Linked DNA regions of Tribolium castaneum. The protein of the gene in region 1 interacts with the protein of each later gene in a biochemical or structural test. Links are inferred from orthologs where the notes say so. Each region holds a gene or a part of one and is shown on either strand. Other genes may lie near its edges.

The links.
Region 2: the proteins of Lis-1 (region 1) and nudC form a complex in vitro, tested with the Homo sapiens proteins (3 studies listed by BioGRID). The link is inferred for Tribolium castaneum from reciprocal best matches to the Homo sapiens genes PAFAH1B1 and NUDC.

Annotation. Positions count from the first base shown.
Region 1 is NC_087399.1:2,663,036-2,666,423, reverse strand, and holds part of Lis-1 (lissencephaly-1 homolog), read right to left. Parts: intron 2,734-3,388; coding exon 1,807-2,733; intron 1-1,806. UniProt on the Homo sapiens protein: Regulatory subunit (beta subunit) of the cytosolic type I platelet-activating factor (PAF) acetylhydrolase (PAF-AH (I)), an enzyme that catalyzes the hydrolyze of the acetyl group at the sn-2 position of PAF and its analogs and participates in PAF inactivation.
Region 2 is NC_087398.1:987,594-992,040, reverse strand, and holds the start of nudC (nuclear migration protein nudC), read right to left. Parts: upstream 2,836-4,447; 5' UTR 2,728-2,835; coding exon 2,644-2,727; intron 2,594-2,643; coding exon 2,516-2,593; intron 2,469-2,515; coding exon 2,130-2,468; intron 2,123-2,129; exon of another isoform or gene 1,820-2,122; coding exon of another isoform or gene 1,794-1,819; intron 1,742-1,793; coding exon of another isoform or gene 1,405-1,741; intron 1,361-1,404; coding exon of another isoform or gene 1,259-1,360; intron 1-1,258. Other genes in the region: uncharacterized protein LOC656652, read left to right, coding at 1,259-1,360, 1,405-1,741, 1,794-1,819; mahj (protein mahjong), read left to right, coding at 3,304-3,416, 3,463-3,613, 3,665-3,802, 3,851-3,978, 4,025-4,200, 4,252-4,328, 4,377-4,447. UniProt on the Homo sapiens protein: Plays a role in neurogenesis and neuronal migration. Necessary for correct formation of mitotic spindles and chromosome separation during mitosis. Necessary for cytokinesis and cell proliferation.

The DNA.
Region 1 (3,388 bases):
TAATTTTTCCGAATTTTTTGAACGTAGAGCTTCAATGTTACACGTGACCAATCTACTCAAATTCAACCCCCAATATTTCGCAAACCGGTGGTTTGATTTCGTCCAAATTTGCACCAAGCGTAGCTCAGCCCCCTTTGCCCCTACTGTGATTTTTCCAAATGTTTTGAACGCCCAGTCTCGGTGTTACAAGCGGCCCCCTTCCCAGGCTCAACCCCCGATATTTCGCAAACCGATCGTTCGATTTCGTCCAAATTTGTACTAGATATAGCTCAGCCCCTTTGCCCCCTACTGTAATTTTTCCAAATTTTTTGAACGTACAGTTTCAATGTTACACGTGACCAATCTCCTCAAATTCAACCCCCAGTATTTCGCAAACCGATGATTTGATTTCCTCCAAATTTGCACCAAGCGTAGCTCAGCCCCCTTGCCCCCTACTGTAATTTTTCCAAATTTTTTGAACGTAGAGTTTCAATGTTACACGTGACCAATCTCCTCAAATTCAACCCCCAGTATTTCGCAAACCGATGATTTGATTTCCGCCAAATTTGCACCAAGCGTAGCTCAGCCCCCTTTGCCCCTACTGTGATTTTTCCAAATGTTTTGAACGCCCAGTCTCGGTGTTACAAGCGGCCCCCCTCCCAGGCTCAACCCCCGATATTTCGCAAACCGATCGTTCGATTTCGTCCAAATTTGTACTAGATATAGCTCAGCCCCTTTGCCCTCTACTGTAATTTTTCCAAATTTTTTGAACGTAGAGTTTCAATGTTACACGTGACCAATCTCCTCAAATTCAACCCCCAGTATTTCGCAAACCGGTGGTTTGATTTCGTCCAAATTTGCACCAAGCGTAGCTCAGCCCCCTTTGCCCCTACTGTGATTTTTCCAAATGTTTTGAACGCCCAGTCTCGGTGTTACAAGCGGCCCCCTTCCCAGGCTCAACCCCCGATATTTCGCAAACCGATCGTTCGATTTCGTCCAAATTTGTACTAGATATAGCTCAGCCCCTTTGCCCCCTACTGTAATTTTTCCAAATTTTTTGAACGTACAGTTTCAATGTTACACGTGACCAATCTCCTCAAATTCAACCCCCAGTATTTCGCAAACCGATGATTTGATTTCCTCCAAATTTGCACCAAGCGTAGCTCAGCCCCTTTGCCCCCTACTGTAATTTTTCCAAATTTTTTGAACGTAGAGTTTCAATGTTACACGTGACCAATCTCCTCAAATTCAACCCCCAGTATTTCGCAAACCGATGATTTGATTTCCTCCAAATTTGCACCAAGCGTAGCTCAGCCCCCTTTGCCCCTACTGTGATTTTTCCAAATGTTTTGAACGCCCAGTCTCGGTGTTACAAGCGGCCCCCCTCCCAGGCTCAACCCCCGATATTTCGCAAACCGATCGTTCGATTTCGTCCAAATTTGTACTAGATATAGCTCAGCCCCTTTGCCCTCTACTGTAATTTTTCCAAATTTTTTGAACGTAGAGTTTCAATGTTACACGTGACCAATCTCCTCAAATTCAACCCCCAGTATTTCGCAAACCGATGATTTGATTTCCTCCAAATTTGCACCAAGCGTAGCTCAGCCCTCCTTGCCCCTACTGTGATTTTTCCAAATTTTTTGAACGCCCAGTTTTGGTGTTACAGCTGACCCCCCCTCCCAGCTACAAGTGTCAATATCTCGGAAACCGCTCGTTCGATTTTGTTCAAATTTGGCCACGACGTGCCCCACGCCCTTTTGTCTTAGCTGTGATTTTATCAAAATTTTCGGCCGTCTAGTTTAGGCGTAAAACGCGGCCCCCTCTCACCTGATCGTCTTATCCCTGGAACACGACGCCAGAAACGGTCCCATATGTGCCCCCTTCTTATTATCGACTCCTGCCGCTTCATTGATGGCATTCGCAGCCGAATCAGGTGCCCATGCTACGAATTCGACAACGTGTTCGTGTGCTCTCAACTCAGCTCGACATTCCTTCGTATAAACCTGCCATATTCTGATGGTCTGATCGTTGGAACAACTGGCCAAGAGTTGACCATCGGGCGATGGCCGCACAACTCTGACCCAATCCTTGTGTCCTGTAAAGGTTTTGACACAATAACCGGTCGAAACCTCCCACATTTTGATGGTTTTATCGCGACTTGACGAAACGACAAAATCCCCCGCTGGCATGAACGCCACCGATGATATATTGTGATCATGCCCGAGCATCGTTCGGATGCATTCGTAACTCTGTTGGAAATCCCATAATTTAATCGACATATCGGCGCTACAGGAAACTAGCAGTTTTCCTGTGGCGTCGAAAGCGACGTCTTGAACGGCATCCGAGTGGCCTTTGAGGGTCCTCTCGTATTCCCCTGTCTCAAAATCCCAGACTTTAATCGTAGCATCTTCACTTGTCGATACAAAGAGACTAAACAACGGATGGAATATGACACGTGTGACGGGGGCTCGGTGCCCCGTCAGGGCGTATTTCTCAGGGGGTCTGGGGATCCATTCGGCTGGACTGCGTTTGCCGCGAGTTGGTGCCCCCTCGATGTATTCCTTTTCGGCTTCGTGGAGTTTCGATTCGAGTTCCATCACTTTCTTCTGGAGACGTATCACAGATGTCCATTTTTTTTCGAGAAGACCGCCGAATTTGCGCTCGAGTTCGCCGGGCATGTCCGTTTCTTTTTTGAACGCTTCTAGTGCGTTCATGTAACCGTTGCTACTGAGGTAATCAGCGATGGCTTTGTTACTGCAAAAATCACAAGTGATGTAATAAAATAAACACAAATGTGGGTGATGTAAGGGGGTCTTATTATATGGACGAGACGAGTATTTTATTAATAAAAGAAAATTTACATGAATCAATAGCTCACGGTCAAACGACGTAAAAATAACAAACGAATTCAAGGTTTTGCTTAAAATCAATAAAGAGAGTCATTAAAGAAACAAAAGCAAACTCAGCAAATTCCGAGACCTGATTTTGCGACAAATTAATAAAAAAAAATTAATAAATCGATTTCTACAAATTAAGACAAAAAACTATAACATACAGAAATTATTTTAATAACCGATAATTTCAAAAAATTCCAAAAACTTGAATTTTTGAAAAAAATACACCCAAAAAAATAGTTTTATTTGCTTAAAAATTAGACAAATTCAAAGTTCAGATATTAATAAAAAATAATAATAAATCAATTAATTTTAGAATTTACTTTTATTTTTCGTTGGTTTTGTAATTTTATATACTATACATACTATTTTATAAAAAAGTTTTCCTTTAAATAAACATTATTACACGAAAAATGTTTCAAACTTGTTGTTAGCATATTTATCTGAGAAGGAGGTTCGAATCCCGGTTTGGCACATTTTTGTTTTTTTCATAAAATTTAATAAAGAAAACACAA
Region 2 (4,447 bases), on another chromosome or scaffold:
GAAGTTTGTTGTGTAAACACGCATCCTCTTGTTTTCCCATTATTTAAAATAAGGTAAACAGACTGGCATTGACCCGAAAACACGATTAAAATTATAACTTTAAATGAAGATTTTTCAACAAAAAATCCAAGAGTCGCACCACCCCGGAAATTTTCACTCACATGTTTATGTAAGCAAATGAGGAAGTAGTAAAAATGAGCGAATATCACTCGAATTAATTCAGAGCCGAAATGCTCGCTCTAATAATTTCACCAAACCCGGGAGAAAGGATGATTATAAATATTGTTGGTGATAATGATTCGTTTCGTGCATAGTAACTATTCAATAAATTAGAATATCTAGATTGTCTACTGAGATGTGCAGTGGAGGTCGCCTTCGAACGCAGTTAATTGATGTTGATTAATACCGCACTCATTAATCGCTTGCAATTTACATAAACCTATAAAGTTTAGGTCGCTAAACCTTCACTTGAAACTTTGTAATTTATCTTCCAATTGTTTCGTCCGAATTGTACCCTTGAACGTTTCAATATTCTTCCGACTACCAAAAAGCACCAAGCACGCGTCTCTGTTTGAATTAAGTGATTAAAACATGATGCAACAAGAAAATCCACAAATGTCGTCACTTGCAATGAGCAGAATCCGGAATGTGTCAAAACAAATATTAATGGTTTGAAGCAAGGACGGTTCGATTGTGAGAAGACGTAAATAAAAACATCGCCGAATTCCAGGAGAGAGGTTACAGTCATTATCGCCTGAAAATCATCGGAAGAATACCGAGAAAAAGGCCACTAGTGAAAAATTAGACTACAAACGGCGGCCGTGACCGAGATAAAAATGTATTAGCGTGTTTCACTGATTACTTGTCAATCTTCCCAGCTTTTATTAAGCGGGTGATTAAATTCAATGCTACCGAATCAAACAATAAAATGCCACAATGTGTATTTTTACCAACAAAGCCAATTATTACAAAATGTCATACAAACACGATCTATAAAATAAAAATGAGCGTCACGTTCGGCGCTCAATGAAAAAAACACGGGCTTAATAAGGAAATTGTACATTGATTAATAAAAAACGAGGCCGAAATCAGAATTAACATAAATTAATCCGAAATTTTTATGAACGGTACGAGAATGTACCGATTTCGTTTTGACACCTGCTTACCGTCTTGCATAATGCGATGAATTAACAATAAATACGCGACCTTCGATATTAAATAACCACTTACTTTATTACATTAATATTGATTTTTGCAGACTCCGGCAGAGCTCAACAAGAGCTGGCACATCCCCAGACCCACACTAGCTAGAAGCTCAAAGAGTTCGCAGGGTTCGACGTCTAGCAATAATAGCACACAGGTACAAATAAAAAAATTAAGACAAGAAAATCATTGGATTTTTAGAGTGCAAGGTCCGGTTCGTTACTACTGACAGCAGCAAATCTGGCCCAAATACAAAATCCGGACACGGACAAAAACACCAGACAACAAAACATTCAGTATTACCTCGAACAAACAAACAACAATGATCACATAGCACTGCCTGTTAACGATTTGAAGAAACCAGACCCAGATGCTGTTTCAGTGGCAAGTTCGATGCATTTTACCGTAGTTAATATGAACACGAGACCTGTGGTCAGGCAAAGAAGTTTCTGTCGAAAACACCAATTGACGATTCTAGTTTTGACGATGTCCGCTTTGTTTACCATAGGGATCTTGGCGGCGATATTTCTCTTAGAAAGTAAGTTCTTCCGCTTTCATTTCAGCCAATTTCCAATTTTTTATTGTTTCAGTGAGGGCGAAAAGACAACGGTACTAGGATTAGGACAAGCATCGACATTTCTCCAAAAATTGACGAAGCATTGAAATGTCGTGCGCACTTATCGTAGTTAGTTATTTAATTCCCTATTTAATTAGGTTTAGCAACTGGACCAAAATTGTGGTTGTTCTAAATCATAAGCTATCCATAAGTATTTTTTGATGTTACTGTGATATGTAAAAGCAATCATTACAGCATTGTATAGTATTTATGAACAATTTTAAGGCAGGTCCCGAACCTCCTTGGAAATCTTGTAAATTGATTTTTAATTAAATTATACAAATAAATTTTCTACAAAACTAAGACTTACCTCAACGTCTTGGAGAGTCTGCGTCCACCTGTACTTGTCCAAATCACATCCATTGCCACTGTTTGGCTTCAATTTCCCAATCTCTGAGGCATCCTCATCCTCTTCAATTTTCTCAACAGCTGGGGCCCCATTACTCACCCCACTTTTCTTAGCATCTAACTCGGCTTGCAACTTTTCAGCCTCAGCATCAGTCAATTCGGTGATTTCCGCCGGTTTTACCTTCTCCTCTTCTTGCTGTTTCTTCTTTTTGGCGGCTTCACGTTCCCGACGCTCTTTTAACTCCGTCTCGTGTTTCTTACGACTAACTTGTTCGTATTTCCTAAATGTGCTCATTACTAACTAAAAACCAGGTCATTATTTTTCGAACTGGCTTTACCCCGGACTACCTTTTCCCATGCTCCTTCCTCGCCCCCGGTGAAAAAATCCGTCTTGCGGCTTAGAAAACTCACAAAAGTGTCCAATAACTACAGTTTTGTCGTGATTTTAAGGTTAGAGTAAACAGATCGAGGCTCACCTGCGAAGCGCCGTGCGGATGGTGCTGGGCTATTGACAGGAAGAGGGAATCGAATTGCTCAGTCTGATTATCATCGCCACTCATCTTGACTGGACTTTTTTCGTGAAAAAATGGTCAAAAATCGTGGAAATTGCTAGACTTTTCTTCTATCGACCAAATATCAATTGTACCAACCAAACCAATCGGCGTGAAAACTTCCAAAAACGGTGCTTGTACCAACATTGATGGGTCAACCGAATGTGGGAATTTTAGCCAAACGGGGACCACCCTCAAATTAAAATTAAAACATGCAAAGGGGGTGTATATTTCGATAGTGCGAAGCTTATTTCCTATTCGTTAAATTTCCCAAGGGTTTATTTTAGCTCTGTTTTTTTTTTGTACCATTGGCGGCACTTTTTTAGTAACATACGTGCTCGATTTTTCAATGGAAGCCAAGAATTGTGTTTTGCGCTTTGTGAATGTGTATTGCGCCAATTTGTGAAATAATCAAACTGATTACGATTTTTTACAAGCCAGAAGTGTAGAGTTCACATTATCGCATTGTTTTTGCCAGTCTCCCGGTGTCCTAATTATCTCACCTTGCAATTACGGAACTGTAAAGTATTTTAGGTTATGTTAAACTACCTCATGCCCTTTATTTTATAACGTTTTGAGCCAATAATGTCGGAAAACAGCAATTCGACTTCTGTTATGTCAGAAGTCACAACTCTGATAAGAAACTGGGAAGATGAACATACGGCGCCTAATTATGACCCCATTCAGACACTCACCAGGTAGATCTTGCCTTAATTTGGCAAATTCTTACCCTTTTGTTGGCAGATTGGCCGAAATATGCGAGGTGGAGACTGAAAATTACCTGAAAATGGATCCTGACCCATTTGATGAACGCCACCCTTCACGAACTGATCCTGACTGCAAACTTGGCCAAATTTTAAAAGCGCTTTTTAGGAAGGATATTTTTATGAACAAAGTATTAACTCTCCACAAAAACATAAAAAGACACACATAAATATTTTTTCAGCTTGTTAACGATTATTTGAGAGAAACGTACTACTCTCGGTCAGGAATCACAGACAAGGATGTTGATCAGTTGAATATTGCAGCTTGTAGGTTGATGCTAGACGTAATGCCTGGCTTAGAGACATCAGTGGTGTTTCAAGTACGTGTCAATTATTTTTTTGGGGGGAAAACTAACGACTAGTTTCAGCCCGATATGGATAATTTGATTCACCGTTTAATTAAATGGACTACAAATTCAATAGAACCTCTGCAAAGTTACGCAACGGGGCTTTTAGCTGCTGCAATGGAAATTCCAGAAATTGCCACACGTTTTAGGTAAGTTTCCGCTTTGGTCTTATCGCAGTTAATTACCAAAAAATAGGGAACAAAACGGACGACTTGTGCCTTTACTACTTCAAAGACTGCGTAGGCTTCAAAATTCCTCGGAATTTTTGACCACGACAAATACTCGACCTTTTGCACACTTATCTTCAATGAAGTCGCCCCCTTATCGCGGTGACGGTGTCGTAAAAGTTTCACCCTCTGGTATTAAAAGGCGTACGTAACGACACCCTATTGTATTTTACCCTTCAATAATTATTCTTACAGCCCGCGAGAATGGAGTTATTCCAAATTCGAAAACAACACTTAATAAAGAAAACACTGATGTGATTAACACTAGTGAGGTAAGCGCGCCTTTTCCTCCTCGTGATATGGTCTCACGTTTAATACAGTTATCAGATTCGGAAAGCGGCCAAAAACGCAAAAAACTAAAGCTGGAGCACAATTCAAGCGAAGCTGATGA